2 linked regions of the Stegostoma tigrinum genome follow. The protein of the gene in region 1 purifies or fractionates together with the protein of each later gene. This does not show direct contact. Links are inferred from orthologs where the notes say so. Each region holds a gene or a part of one and is shown in the gene's direction. Other genes may lie near its edges.

The links. The genes of interacting proteins can lie anywhere in the genome.
Region 2: the proteins of dyrk1aa (region 1) and trmt61b purify together in Homo sapiens (affinity purification with mass spectrometry, with the first as the bait; 3 studies listed by BioGRID). This does not show direct contact. The link is inferred for Stegostoma tigrinum from reciprocal best matches to the Homo sapiens genes DYRK1A and TRMT61B.

What each region holds. Positions count from the first base shown.
Region 1 is NC_081365.1:17,522,391-17,530,219, forward strand, and holds the start of dyrk1aa (dual specificity tyrosine-phosphorylation-regulated kinase 1A), read left to right. Parts: upstream 1-4,820; 5' UTR 4,821-5,215; intron 5,216-5,408; exon of another isoform or gene 5,409-5,584; intron 5,585-7,829. UniProt on the Homo sapiens protein: Dual-specificity kinase which possesses both serine/threonine and tyrosine kinase activities. Exhibits a substrate preference for proline at position P+1 and arginine at position P-3.
Region 2 is NC_081357.1:18,596,702-18,604,618, reverse strand, and holds the start of trmt61b (tRNA (adenine(58)-N(1))-methyltransferase, mitochondrial), read left to right. Parts: upstream 1-4,899; 5' UTR 4,900-4,931; coding exon 4,932-5,747; intron 5,748-7,917.

The sequences.
Region 1 (7,829 bases):
ATGTTTAACTGTATTGATACAATTAACACTCCAGTTATCTGGCTCTGTGGCAAATATTCCGTAACACTCTTGACTTGCACCTTGTAGGTGGTGGAGAGGTTTGGTGAGTCAGGCAGTGTGTTTCTCACGACAGAATTACTAGCCTCTGAACAGCTGCTGTCGTCTCAGCATTTGTGTGTCTAGTCTGTTAAGTTTTCTGATCAATGGTGACACCCAGGATTTTGAGACTTGAGAATTTACTTATGATAATGTAATTGAATATTAGGAGGAGATAGTCATTTTCTGCCATTTGTCTGGCATTAATATTATTTGTCATTTATAAACTCAAGCCAGAATTATGTGTCAAGTCAGTTTGCATGCAAACAGCGACTGCTTAATTGAATTGCAATCATCAGTGAATATATCCAGTTTTGGCTTTATTTTGGAAGGAATCTCAAGATGAATCGGCTGAAGATGGTTAAACTTAGGACATGAGAAAATTGGAGCTCTTATGGTGTAGTGATGGTGTCCCTACTTCAAAGGCAAGAGAATGGGTTAAAGTCCTACCTACTCCAGAGGTGTTTAATAACATTTATGAACAGATTGATTAGAAAATACCTATTAGATCTGACCAAGGATAATCAAAATAACCTTATGTGTGAGATGTGATCCCACCAGCGTGGAGTTTTCCTCCCTATTCCCATTGATTTAACTTCCTACTTGAGGCCCCACTTAGTCAAATACTGCCTTGTGTTGTCAAAGGCAGCTACTTACATTTCACTTCCACAATTCAGTCCATTTGTTGATTATCCAACCAAGGATATGCTGATGTCTGGAGCTGAGTGATTCTGGCCAACTCCTCAGTAACAGTAAACAGGTCACTGGTGAGTATCATCCCCTTTCATCACCTTGCTGATGATCAGGTGGAGGACAACAGGATGGTATGCTGGGTTGTAGGTGTCTTGCTTTTTAGTGAAAAGAATGTACCTTGGCAACTTTCCACTTCATTATATAAATGCCAGTGCTGGAGCACAAGACATTGTTAGTTCCATAGCCCTTATAGAATACAAACAATGGATTGTTTCTTGATATTATGGGGAGTAGAGTAAATTGATCAAGACTGGTTTCTATGATGTCGGGGATACCAAGCAGAGAGAACACTGGTTCACCCATTCGTTACTTTTGGTTGAAGATGGTGGTAAAATTCTCAGCCTTATCTCTCAGATTCATGTCCTGTACTCCATCATTAACAAGAATGGAGATGCTCATGGTATCTCCTCATCCTATTAACAATCCACCATTAATTGTAACTGGATATTGCAAGACATAAATATTTTGATCTGATTTATCATGATGGCATCACTTAGATCTCCTACTTAATAATGATGACATCCTATATTGTAGCTTCACCAGACTGATATCTTACTTTAGGTGTTAATGGTGCTGCTCCTCACATGTTCTCTTAAAATTGTCATTAAACTAGAGGTGATTCCCCAGCTTAATGGTAATGATAATAGGGGCAGCACGATGGCTAGTGCTGCTGCCTTACAGCAGCAGGAATCCGGGTTCAGCTTCAGCCTTAGGCAACTGTCTATGTGGAGTTTCGCATTCTCCCTTTGTCTGCATGGGTCTCCTCTGGGCACTCCAGTTTTATCCTACTGTCCAAAGATGTGCAGGTTAAGTGGATTTGTCATGCTAAATTGCCCATCGTGTCCAGGGATGTGCAAGCTAGCTGGAAATGTGGGGTTATGGGGATAAGTGTGTGTTTGGGTGGGATGCCCTTTGGTGGGTCAATGTGGACTCAGTGGGCCAAATGGCTTGCCCCCACTCTATACAGATTCTCATTCTATTCTGTGTGAGAGTGGGTAGTATGCTGGCCCATGGTGTTAGAGGCTGTGGTTGAACACAATTCTTCTGCTGCTGGTGGCCCACAGTGCTCCAGGAATCCTTTGCTTTGAGTTTGGTTTGGTCTGGTTTAAATCTACTTCATTCATGGTGGTAATGCCACACATTACAGAGGCTGTGTTCAGTGCCACATAAAGGCTGTTTAGGGATCAAAATAGATAGACTGGGGAAGTTTTCTTTTAAAAAAAAGCATTAGCTCTTGGGATGTGGACTTCACTGGTTGGACCAGCACTTATTGCCAATCTCTGATTGCCCTTGAGAATATGTGCTTTGCTGTATGCTGGTTTGCTGAAGTCCTTTGGGTATAGGAACACCATTGTCCTGTTAGGGAGTGAGTTCCAGGATTATAAACAGAGACACTGAAGGAACAGCAATTTTCTTCCACTGCAGGACTGTATGTGGCTTGAAGAGGAACATGCAGTTGGTGACTTTCCCAAACATCTGCTGCCCTTGTCTTTCTTAAGGTGACTGGTGGTGAGTTTCAATTAAGACCAAAGATTGTGAGTTTGGGAGGTGATATGTAAGGAGCTGTGTTGAGTTGCTGCAATGCATCTTATTTCAGAATTAGCAAGGCTAAAATAGATGCCATTTTGGCGACAGCCCCCTGCAAACAGTATTACTGGCTAAATTATTTGTAAAAAACACAGCTGCATCCTTAAGAGATCTAACCTGAGAACAACATTAAACCAGATGAGGTGATCTGCGACTTGCAAGAAGGCTTTAACAAGCTGTAAAGGAACGCTTTGCACACATCTTCAACTGGTCGATCCGAGGTACTTCTGGGAATTTGCGAAATACATGTAATGTCTGTTCGGAGCTGAGTTGGATCAATGGCCACGGGAAGGAACAGCTTGTTCTTTTTAATCTCAGCTGCAAGACATTCCACTGGTTTACTGGCATACCAAGTGACTGAAAGATTTTTTTTATAAAACGTAGTCTGGGCATCGCAGATAATACACTGGATCTGTCGACACGCGTTTCGGCATGTATTCAGATCATAATTCAGTTTTGTTTGAATTCACTCCGCGTCAAAATCGCGAGTTTGCTGCGAATGGAGCGCTGTGCTTCAGCTGTTCATCGCAAGGCTAGGAAGACGAGTCAGCCTCACCCCCGAGTGGCCTGTGGGGGGGGGGTTAACTCACAGGAATACCCCTGAGATTCTCTTCAGAACATTCATGTGACAGATTCCACGCTGTCGTGACTGTATGTAGGTGGAGAGAAGCAAGACTCATTCTCCTGCTAAATGTCAATTAATTTGTTGTCTCAGTATATATACAAAGCTACACTGAAGCTCAAAGATAAATGATACCTGCTTGTGACATGTCGACTTTCTGGAAGGGGCATTTCGACATTAATTTCCAGCGTTCAAGTCAATATGACAGCATGGGTGGCAAGTATCAGTAATCTATTTGCCTGTAAGTATGCCTGCTAACTCTGGCATACTCAGGTAGGGAAAGGGATATTGAGGATTATTAGGATGATTTTTATCGCTGCCCAAACTGGGGCTAGCTAACAGAAAATGGGCATTGACCTGGGACGATTCAGGTATGCGTCATTCACTCGGTACCGCACTGTGCGCTTTTGATCAAGAGGCGATCTACTTCACACACCCTTTCTCGTCTCCTCAAAAAATATTAACGGAGTGATGTTCCATAAATAGAACCACGGGTATAAATGCAAAATTGCAATCGAAATAAATTAACCATGAAGTCGTGTTGTTTTATTAATGTCACCATTCAAAAATACGAGGCTACATTTCCACTCACTATCGCCTGAGACCGTCGCCCCACCAATCCCAGACCAACAGAGTATGTGCCAGAATGTAACTCGTTAAAACTGTATGCCACGCTAGTTGATGAGAAATGAAGCGAAGAGCCGCTTGTCACACGATGTCTGTAAAACCGTTCTTTCGTCGCTGCAAGTGCTGTTAGAAGAATCAAAGCACCGTATCACCCTTCTGGCCAGAATAAAAAAAAGTCAATGAGAAGATACTTTTAGCCGCAAATGTCAATGCATGTCCTAAACCATTATTCGCTGCGGCTTTTCCGGTTTTGATTGCAGCGGTCGGGGGATATCAAGTAAATTTTTGCTCCTCCAGTGACATTTATTTGAGCGTTCAAGTTCAGTTGTGGGCTTTTCTCTATCGTTTATGTAACCGTGCGGCTCTGCAAACGGGCTCAATAGGGGGCAAGCCCATTCTGTCACAGCGTCTGTGTACTTTAGTGTGTTTGTGGGTCATCTTCATTCGAAACAACTCTTTTTGCCTTCTACTGCTGTTTGGAAGGTGTGCGAATGAAACAGGTATCCGCAATTCAAAAAGAAACATAAATAAAACATCACAGAGACACACGCACAGCCTTTTCTCCCTCCAATCTCAAAATAATCAGTGAGCAATATAGGTCAGTGTTCAGGGACGCAATGAAGGGAGGTTTCGAGTTGTGTTTTGGGTTCTTATGGGCGAGGAGAGGAAGAAGGAGAGTCTGGATCCTTGATGAAAAGTTTGGCAACTCTCGCAAAAAAAATCTATCTAATCTAAGGACTATGATTCTGTTAAAGGGAGCAACACAACAAAAAGACGTCTCGAGAAAATCAGAACAAGATACGAAAGAAACCTCAATTGTGTAATACTTGCATATACAGCAAGCGTGTTACAAAGAAAAGTACACACACAGGGAACCCCATCAGGTTCTAGATGGCGACCACTCGCTTGGCAACAAGAGTTTCTGCGGTTCTCGGTTATTTGGGCCTCGGGTTTAGATGAAGGGAGGAGATGGGCGTGATTGACGGTTTCCCTTCGCAACAGGCTCGGCCCCATTAATCGGTGCAGCATCCGGGGGATTGCGGCTGGCAACATCCTCAACGGCGCCTGGCCCCGCCTTTCCCCTTGCTGACGTCAAGGGCTCATCCGGGGCACCCGCTGTGATTGACAGTCCCCATAGCAACGCGCTCCGTCCGCCGCCATTTTGTTGTTAAGAGGAGAGAGAAGAGAGAGAAAAAAATTTTTTCAGGGCTTTCCCGCCTCGGAAATTTTTTTTTATCCGCGGGGAGGGGGTATTTTTTTTTGTCTCTCAACTCTACCTTTCTCACCTTAGCCCCTCTTTATCCCTCACTCACCCACTCCCTCCTTACCACCACCTTCCCTAACCTCCTCCTCCTCCGTTCTGATTTTTTTTCCCTCCTCCCTCGAAGGCGAGATCGGGAGATTCGGAGAGCGGGAGGAGAAAGTTGAATGGTCGGTGCGGCCGGAGAAGTCGGTCTGGCGAGCGGCGCAAGGAGGTGTAAAGCGGGTTTGAAAAAAGGCGGCGCCGAGGAGGTGTTTGCTGTTGCGCAGGTTTGTAGTGCGCGCCATTTTGTGAAATAAAAAAAGAGAGGGGGAAAAGACCGAGTGAGAGGAGGAAAGGTGGGGAGGGGGCTGGTCACAGGCACAGTTTGATCCTGAAGAGTCACTCACATCGAGGGGACAGCAGGCAGCTCGGGGGAGGCGGGGGTTGAGGCGATTCTGAATTCTCACACTTGAGATTTATTTATTATTTTCTTTCACACCATCTCCTTCATTCCTCTCCCCTCCCTTCCCCGTAACACCGCCCCTCGCCCAGAAAGGAGGGGACAGTAAACCCAAGCGGCGGCAGCGGCTTCTCAGCAACGAGAGCGGCCTGGGTGACAGAGGGAGGGAGAGAGATAGAAGAGAAATCGGGGAGAGGTTTGTCTTGACTTTCGTTCTAATTCATCAGCCACTTAATTCTATGTTCTCACCCCCCCCCCCCCCAGCGGCCTGACACTTATTTAAGACGTTGTTATAATTTGGTTGGCGGTCTCTTCTTAAAACAGTGTTATTAACATAAGGAGCTGAGAGAGGAAGATGGACTCTTTTTGACAGTGTTACTGCGCTGAACGTGTTAAAGTATATGTTGCATATCCGAGTGTCAGCCACAGGGCACAGCAATTTAGCAGGAATTAGAAACGTTAAGCATGTCATTTTCATCTGTGTATGACAGTTGTGCTATTTCAGTGATCTGGAGAAATTTTGTTAAGGCATGTAGCGTTTGTTTAGCCAGTACATGATGCACAATTCATGTCAGCATTGATACCCAGTCTTTAGTTAGACAGTGTGGTTTCCTTTTATTTTCCTTTGCTTTTGTCACATACAAGTAAAAGAAGATTGTTCTTTTGCAACATTGTGATTCGGATGGTGCCTGCCAACAAAACATGTTGGACTGTAACACATGCAATGCAAAGCCAAACACAGCAAATATTCTGAAAAAACGTTATTTATTTAAAAATGTTCTTTCTATGCAAAGAGTGGATAGACATTAAACTTTCAGATCTGAGTAGTACCATTCTTCTTGAACTGCTTTTCTAGCCGCAAAGCGCGAGATTTTTAATTCTAAAAACTGCAGTTGTTAAATTTTGTGCCGAATAAAACAAAACTTTAACCTGAAATGTGCAGGTGTCCAGTCCAATGCCCAATGTTAAACATATCAAATTGTGGCATTGCACTAATTTGCAGTGTGTTACTAAACTGGTACATCTAACAGCAGTCCAGAACATCGGTGAACAAATTAATGACAATTATGTGAGTGGCTTGATGAATATTTTGAGAACACAATGTAGACTAAGTTGTATGTTATTTTGGTCAAGTAAAAAGAGTTTTATTTAGATTGTATTGCCAGTGTCATCCTCAATAAATGAAATGTCAGTTGCCCCTAATTACGTTTTGGGGTTAAACTTTTTATCATCCAATGCAGATTTAGGCCTGGATCTTCAACGAGTTTCTGTTGATCTCAGTAAAGGGATCCTTCCAAAAATATCTTTGACATCGCTTTGTTTTCAATACTTAGACTTCAGAAAAATATTCTGTACCAAACTGATACTTTGACTTCACCATAAAATATCAGTTGGTCTGATTGGAATTTAGTTGTTTAGTCATGTGGTATTTTAAAGCCTGTAGAGTTGAAATACTGGGGCAAAAGTTCAGTTTTTGTGACAAGATCTATATAGGAAAAAGAAGTGTATTGTTGATTGAATTCTTTGAGCTTTCCAACTAATATCCAAATAAGTCCAGTAAAAATCTGCTCCAGGCTCTGTATGCTGTTCAGGTACTTTGGTATTTTGATTTCTGACTTGTATTTTATACATGTGATTGTGCCAGATTTAGTCATTGCATAACACTCACCTAAATCATAGATGTGTGTGTTCAGCGCCATTCCAAAGACCTAAGCAGGTAATCTTGGTTGTTGGATTAGTGCTTGTGCCCTGCTCTGTTTTGGATGTGACAAGAAGTCAAGACCCTGTTTGTTCTCTCAAATGATTGTTACAGATCCCATGCTACTTCAAGGAAGACTAGGCACTTTGCCAGATCTCCTGACCATCGATTATGCATCAACCAGTATTGTAAACAATGGTATGGTGCATCATTTCATTGCTAATTAAGGGATCTAGCTGTGTAAATTAGCTGCCAAATTTTTCTGCAACACTGCTGTTTTAAAGCAGTGTGACATTGACTTTGTGGAAGTATGACGTAAGAATATGATTGCAGTATAATTTGATTTAGAGAGTTCAAAACATAGGCTGGTAAAAGTTCATTTTTTATAAATTAATCAGTTTATTCTGATTTTAAAAGCCGCAGGAGAGATATATTTACTATACAAATATGGTAGTTTGTGTTCCTGAAAGTGAAGTTCATATATGTTAACTGTGTTCCAGGTTCTGCTTTCCTGTTGGTCTTCTTACCGACCTTCATTGCTCCCTTTTCATCTATATCTGAATTTAAGGAACTTTTTTTTCTGATAAAGTCCCTCCATGAGCTTGATTCTCCTGAGCCCAACAACCAGATTGGGTACTTGTCCCTTATCCTTGCTCTAAACACCCAGTTCTAACACTGTACCCTTTCATCTCAGCACGAAATACCCATTTCTGCCGCTGCATTCTGGAAGGCTGTTGTTACA
Region 2 (7,917 bases), on another chromosome or scaffold:
CTGTCATGAGAGAGTCAGACTTTAGAATCACACATACAGATGAAGCCCTTTGGCTCATCAAGTCAATGCCAAAACCACCTACATCAGTCCCACTTTCCTGCATCAGGTCCATAGCCTTGAATGTTATGACACTTCAAGTTTTCATCGAAGTACTTTTTAAAGGCTGTGAGCTTACTCACATCTACTATCTTCCTAGGCAGTGCATTTCCCACACCTAGCAACCTCTAGACAAAAAAAAATTAGATTCCCTACAAGTGAGGAAACAGGCCCTTCAGCCCAACAAGTCCACACTGCCCCTTGAAGCATCCCACCCAGACCCATCCCCTTATAACCCACACACCCCGAACACTACGGGCAATTTAGCATGGCTGATCCACCTAGCCTGCACATCTTTGGACTGTGGGAGGAAACTGGAGCAAACCCACACAGACACGGGGAGAATGTGCAAACTCCACACAGACGGTCACCCGAGATTGGAATCAAACGCGGGTCGCTGGTGCTATGGGGCTGCAGTGCTAACCACTGAGCCACTGTGCCACCCAAAATATTCTTCAAATCCCCTCTAACCCTCCTGCGGTTCACTTAAAAAATGTGTCCCATTGTTCTGACTCTTCAACAAAAGGGAACAGATGCTTACTTACTAACAGCAATGTAATAAGTAATAGCTAGTCTGTTTTTGTGATGCTGATTGATTGAGTGACAAATATTGGCTAGATTTAAAGATAGCTTCCTGCTTTTCTTCAAAAGCATCTTTTACATCTGCTTAAGAGTCAGACAGTATCTTAGTTTTATAATTCATTCATAAGTATAGTGTGACACTCCACAAGACTGTCAGTCTTGAATATTTGTTCTCAACCATCAGAATAGGTCTGATTCAGGGACAAGAATGCTATAACTCACCAATTCAGGAAATAGCAAGGGATTTTACATTTTTCAAGCTAATTGTTCAGCTAAAATATTAGGAGGAAAATGAGGTAGCTTTCAACCACATGCAAAAGATGTCATTACCTTTTAAGCAAGAGTTCTTCTGATGTTCTTGCTAATAATTCAATTTCAACCAATACCTCTCAAAGCCAATCACCTAGTTGTTTCCTACATTTCTTGGTGACTTTATTTCTAAAGTTGTTCATTAGCTGTAACATGCTTTCAGACAACCAAAAGCAATCCCCTACTTTTATGTAGAGACTTTAACATAGTATGATATTTTTCATAGTATCCCTACAATTTACCAACATGGCCCTTCAGCTCAACACGTCCACGCTGATCCTCAGAGCATCTCACCCAGATGCATCCCCCTTTGACCCACCTCATCTAGTCACCTCTAAACACTATGGGCAATTTAGCATCCACCTAGCCTGCTCATCTTTGAACTGTGGGAGGAAGCTGGAGTACCTAGAGGAAACCTTCACAGACACAGGGAGAATATGCAAATTCCACACAGGACCTGAGGGTGGATGTAAACCTGGGTTACCTGGTGCTGTGATGCAGCAGTGCTAACCGCTGAGCCACCATGCCACCCACCCCCTTCAAGTGCTTCTCAGAGAGTTAGAGAACAAAATTTGAGTACAAGCCTTATAAACAGAAATTAAGACAGGTGATCCAAAAGTTTGGTGAGCAAGATAAATTTTAAGAAACAACCTAAGAAGCAAGTTAGGGAAATAAAAGTTTAGGGATGAAATTCTAGAGTTTAGGGTCAAGACAGTTGAAGGCATGAGGGAGTGGTTAAAATCTGTGATGCTCAAGAGGCAAGAATTAGAGGAACATAGATATCTTGGAAGGTTGTAAGGCTGGAGCTGATGACAAAGATCGGAATAGGCATAATGGAGGTATTGAAAATAAGGATAAGAATGTTAAACTCAGCCGCACCTGCTGAGCTTTTCCAGCAACTTTGTTTTTGTACAATGTTTGTCTGGTTACTGATGCAGGTTAATCAATGTAAATAAGCAATTGTACAATGTCCTGAGTTTGTGAATGGCATTAAATGAATGAATACAATATTCATTTGATAATGTAGGATTGTGCAGTGCCTAATAATGGTTGCACTTCAAAAATTGATTGAAACATATTTTAGGATATCCTGAGAATGTGACAAGGAGCTACGGAAATAGGAGGAAGAGTAAGCTATTTTGCTCTTTGAAATTGCCCAGCCAATCGTACTGATTGTGGCTGATCTGCTTGTGACCTTAACTCTAGTTTCCTGCCACCCCATATAACTATATACTCCCTTATAGGTCAAAAGTCTTCAAGCTCAGTCTTTAATATATTCAAGTACTCAACCATCACTGCTCTCTGGGCAACAGAATTCCAAAATACAGCAGCTCTCGGCTTTACATGGAAGAAATTCCTCCTCATCTCTGTTTTAAATAGGAGGTGCCTTAATTTTAAACTTTGTCCACCAGTTGAAGATCCATCCTGAAGGACGATCAGCATCAAGCCTCCTCAAAATTTTCTATACTTCAGTCAGATCGCATCACATTCTACTAAACATCAATTTGTACAGGCCCAAACTGTTTTTTCTTTCGTTAAAAGACACTATTTTCATCCCAGGAATCAACCCGGTGACCTTTCTCTGAATTACTTCTAATGCAAGCTTATCCCTCCTTAAATAAAGAGATCAAAACTGTACACAGAACTCGAGGGGCTGTCTTACCAATGCCCTGTGCAGTTGTGATTAGACTTCCCTATTTTTACATGCTTCAACTCCACCCTGGCCCCCTTGCAAGAAGGGATGATTAGTTATTTCCAGAGTTGCAGGTGGTACACACAAGTTGCAACTACACATAATAATTCTGCTAGCATATGGTTTCAGTAAATGCTATTTATATATCATAGTTAATTATTATAGCAGGGCTATAACTGTGGAGAACTTGACTCCCAAAAGACATTGTTGAGGACATACTTGGAAAAACTAAAATAAATAAATTTTGATATTATTGAAACAGAGAGAAGCAAGCCTTGATCCTGTAAACACCAAATATGTGCAGGGAGAGAATTACATAGGGTTACTGATGTGTTACAAAATTAATAAAAATTAACTGACAGTTTAGACTGTCAGTTTCCTGCCAAGAAATATTTAATCAATATTGATTTTAGATTGTAAAAGTCTTAAAACTTGGTGTTTTGTCCTATAATTCCTTTAATAAGTCACTGGGAATTCAAATATCTTTTTGAAAGTTATCGGTCTTTTTGGGAATGTAACTAAGAAATTGGGTATGGTTGTGCTCTGAAAGAAAACTTCTACACCAGTGCGTCATATGGGTGCACCCTTAGGACTTTACAGTACTTTACAGCCAATTAATTAATTTAAAACAATACCGACAAAAGTTGTCAAAAAATGGCCCATTGAGACAATCGAGTAGTTTTCCTGTATTGGTGCCACTGGTTGAGGGTTGACTATTGGTTAAGATGCTGTTGAACTCCCCCACCCGTCTTGAAAAGCACAATGAGATGTCTTACATCCAGTTGATCAGGCAGATGGTCTCTGGTTTAATACCACGAAAGACATACTGCATCTCGAGCAATGCTTGATATAATATTCTTGGTTTTGTTATGCTGCTAAAGTATGTTTATGTTTGCTGAGAAAAGGAAAACTACATTGTATTTAAGAAACATCTTACTGTACTTCATATTTTCAGGAGGTTAGCAGGAAGCACGATTATGTGACATTGTATAACTTCCTTATGAGCAAATCACAGTGTCAGACTTAACCCCTTACATGACACTATACACTCCTAATTCAGCACTGCCTTAAATTAAGTGGCGCAGTGGCTTAGTGGTTAGCATTGCTGCCTCAGGTTTGATTCCAGCCTCAGGTGACTATCTGTGTAGAGTTGTAAACTCTCCCTGTGTCTGTGTGGGTTCCTTCCACAGTCCAAAGATGTGTAGGGTAGGTGGATTGGCCATGCTAAATTGTCCATAGTGTCCAGGGATGAGTGAGCTAGGTGGATTAGCCATAGGAGGAAAATGAAGGATAGGGCAGGGGCCTGGTTGGGATGCTCTTCAGGGAAGTGATGTGGATTCAACGGGCCAAAGATCCAGCTTCCACATTGTAGGGACTTTATGAAGTGCTCAGATCCTGGGATTTGCAATCATATAGTACAGAAGATTCAAATAAAAACAAAATGTTGTGAAACCTGAAGCAAGCAGAAAATGCTGGCAAAACTCAGCAGCACCTGAGAGAAACAGTTAACATTTTGGTGCAGAATGACCCTTCTTCAGAACTCCAAAGGTGTGCAAACTAGGTGAGTTAGCAATGGTAAATGTGGGGTTAGAGGAATAAGGTAGGGGAATGGTCTTGGTGGGATTCTTGTAAGAGGGTCAGTGTGAACTTGATGGGCCAAATGGCCTGCTTCCACACTGTAGGGGTTCTATATAGAGTCACTAAATAAGACTTATTTCAAATGTGATACAGATGAGAAAATTTGGGGCTCACTGCTTATGCCATCCAACCATTTAAAGCGCGGTAACAAATCACCGCAGCTGCTGAAAACAACGAAGGCTGGAGATCACAGCGAATTAGGCAGCATCCAAGTACCATCCCTGTAATCTCCAGCATTTATGTTTTTGTTTCAAATACTTAAAGCGTGGCTACGATTAACTAAATTCCACGTGTCTCCCTCCTACATAGATAGGATGAAGCTTAGATAATGAAATGTGAGGCTGGATGAACACAGCAGGCCCAGCAGCATCTCAGAGATGATGAAGGGTCTAGGCCCGAAACGTCAGCTTTTGTGCTCCTGAGATGCTGCTGGGCCTGCTGTGTTCATCCAGCCTCACATTTTATTATCTTGGATTCTCCAGCATCTGCAGTTCCCCACTGACAGGATGAAGCTTGTCGCTTTAAGATGATGTGGCGCCGAGGAGGAGCTTTGAAGCGTCTGCTTCCTGCTTGTAAACGCAAAGTCAGTGCAGAGTGAGGAATCTGGCTGGCAATGTGCAAATGCTCCGGGCTGCAAAGTAATAGACAACAGCACGGATTTCACTGCGGGGAGAAAATGCTGCGTCCAGTGAGAACAATGTGCAAAGCAGCCCATTGCTTTCAGGTGCAGTTTGGAGCTAAATGCAGTTACTCTTCTCCATGCACCGGTGCCCGGCTGCCCTTCAATAGGAACCTTGTGTCGCTTGTGTCCAGCTCAGGGGCTGGAGATGAAGGGGAAAAAGATGGATCAGAACCAGGAAGGGAGCTGGGAGCTGGGCAGTGTGGGCCAGCCTGGACATGGACAGGAAGAACGGCTCAGCTCCCGAGGAGACGTTCCCTATCGCCGCTGGAACGGGTCAGCAGCCTGATCCCACAGGAGATGCTGTCCCAGGAGGTAATGGACCTGCAGCAGATAAACCAGGAGCCAGGCCCAAAAGATTACACAGCAGCATCCATGCCCTCTGCACCCACAGGATGGCAGGCAGCATCAGAGTGCAGCTGGCATCTACCCCAGGAGGAGGTCCCTGGTCAGGTGGACAGTGCTTGCCAACCGAACCCTCCACACAGAGAAGTGCCCTTTAAACCTGGGGATGTAGTGCTGGTGGAGTTCCGCAGGAGACGCTGCTTGGAGCTGCAAAAGATGTTCAACTTGGTGAAGGATGGGAAGTTGCACAATCAGTGGGGCATGCTGTCCCACCAGGAGATCCTAGGACATCTCCCCGGCCAAGTCTTCAGGACCTCCACTGGCTTTAAGTTTATCTTGAGGAGGCCATCGCTGGAGGAATTTGTGCTGCTCATGAAGAGAGGACCAGCCATTTCTTATCCTAAAGTATGGAATGCTTGTCTCTTTTAGGAAAGAAAACTGGGTAATTCAAATGTAAAGATTTAATTTTAAAAGATAAAAAAGAAATTGTTGCACTTTAATGTAAATACCTAACTTAAACTGTTGAGAATGAACATTCCCAAAATGTGAACATCTGTGCCCAGTCCTTTTAAAGAAAGTTGCATACTCTCTTTGTAAGGTAGGGCTGTGTTGCCTGGAATTTAGAAATAGGAATTTGATCAAAGTTTTCATGATCTTAAAGTAGATACAGTGAAAATATTTCCACTGGTTGGGGACTGTAGGACCAACAGCATTAGGACTACCAACTAGCAGCACAGTCTTAAAAAACAGCCAGATCATTCAGGATTAAAATTAGAAAATGTTTCTATGTGCAGGAGGTGATAAAAGTTTGGAATCTTCTGGAAATGATCATTGAAACTAGCTCAGTTGTTACATTTAAGACTTGGATAGATTACTGTTAACTAGAAATCTTAATGGATATTGAACCAAAGGCAGATGTATGGGATGATAGGTTGCGGGTAGAATAGATCCAATGGCATTCCTCTGTATTCGGTGAGAAGAACATCTGAATTGCCTTCAGATTTCTCTCCATAATTGGCAACTAGAATATGTGTATGTAAGAACGTACAATGATGCCATTCTAAACTAATTTCCTCTACCTCCACATAGTCCATATCCCTCTATTACCTGCCTGTTGATGTATCTGTCTAAATGCCTCTTAAACATTGCTGTTGTGTCTGCTTCTACCTCCTCCACTGATAGTATGTACCAGGCACCTAACACCCTCTTGTAAAAAACGTGCTTCACACGTCCTCTTTAAACTTGCACCTCTCACCATGCCCCTAGTATATGACATTTCTATCCTTGGAAAAAGACTCCTACTATCCCTGCCTGTCATAATCTTGTATACTTCTACTGGTTACCCCTCCAGCGTCAAATATTTTAGTAAAAATAATCCAAGATTATCTGACCTCTCCTGTTAGCTAATATGCTCCAAGCCAGGCAACATTCCATAAACATCTTCTCAAAGTCATCTTGAAAGCCTCCACATCCTTCCAAAATGATCAACTGGCCTTTAAAAGACTCCCATGTGTCAGATATGGATTTATCCTCAATAACTACCTCCAATCTAATTTCTCCAGTTCCTCGCTAATTCTGTTGTAATTAGCTTTCCCCAATTCAACACTTTCAAGGGAATTTAGAAGAGAGTTAGAGACCTACTGTGGTTCTTTGTTTAGGCAGTTGTTTGTTATCATTGGCTGCTAAATATGGGACTGTGCTGAAGTGTAGAGTCATGATCTTCTTGTGCTGTTCTTCATACAAAACCTGATACACACAGTTATAAGACTGGTTTCAATAAAGGAGGCCAGCCAGCTGTTATCCATGTTGGCTCACTTAAGAGTTATCAGCTGTCACACTATTTTTCTTGCAGTCTTGCAAGATCATCTCTTCAGCATTTATCAATTCTTTTGAAAGCCACAATTGAATCTGCCCATCGCAATGATCCGTTATGTAAAAAAAAATTCCCAAGAGTCACTTTTGTTCTTTTTTGACTTGTTCAACTTATATTAGTGTTCATTGGTTTTGACTATTTTGCTCAGGGAACAATTTCTCCCTCTTCTCTACACAGACTTATCATGACTTTGAACATCTCTATTAAATCTCTTATGAGGCAGCCCAGATTTGGCAACCTATCCATGCAGCTGAGGTTTCCACCTGCCGGAACTATTTTTATAAATCTTTCTGCACTCTCTCCAATATTATCACTTCCTTGCTAAGGTGTGGTGCCCATGATTGGACTCTATTTTAGTTGAGACGAGACAACTATACTTTATAAACAAACATGAATATGCTAGAGAATCTCAGCAGGCCTGGCAGCCCTCAAGTTTTGTTTTATGTGCACATTTTGAAATTGTACTGAAGTCTTAAATCATTAATGTAGACTAAGTAAAACAGAGGTCTTAATACTGACCTTTGGGAACCACATTCTTCAGTCCAAATATAACCATTCATGATCTCTTGCTGTTTCCTGCCACTCACTCAGCTAACTTTGTGTCTGTGCTGCAACTAACCCTTTAATTCCGTGCCATCAAACTTTGCTCATATGTCTGTTGTGTGGAAGTCCATCTCACCATATCAACTGCACTACTGTCAT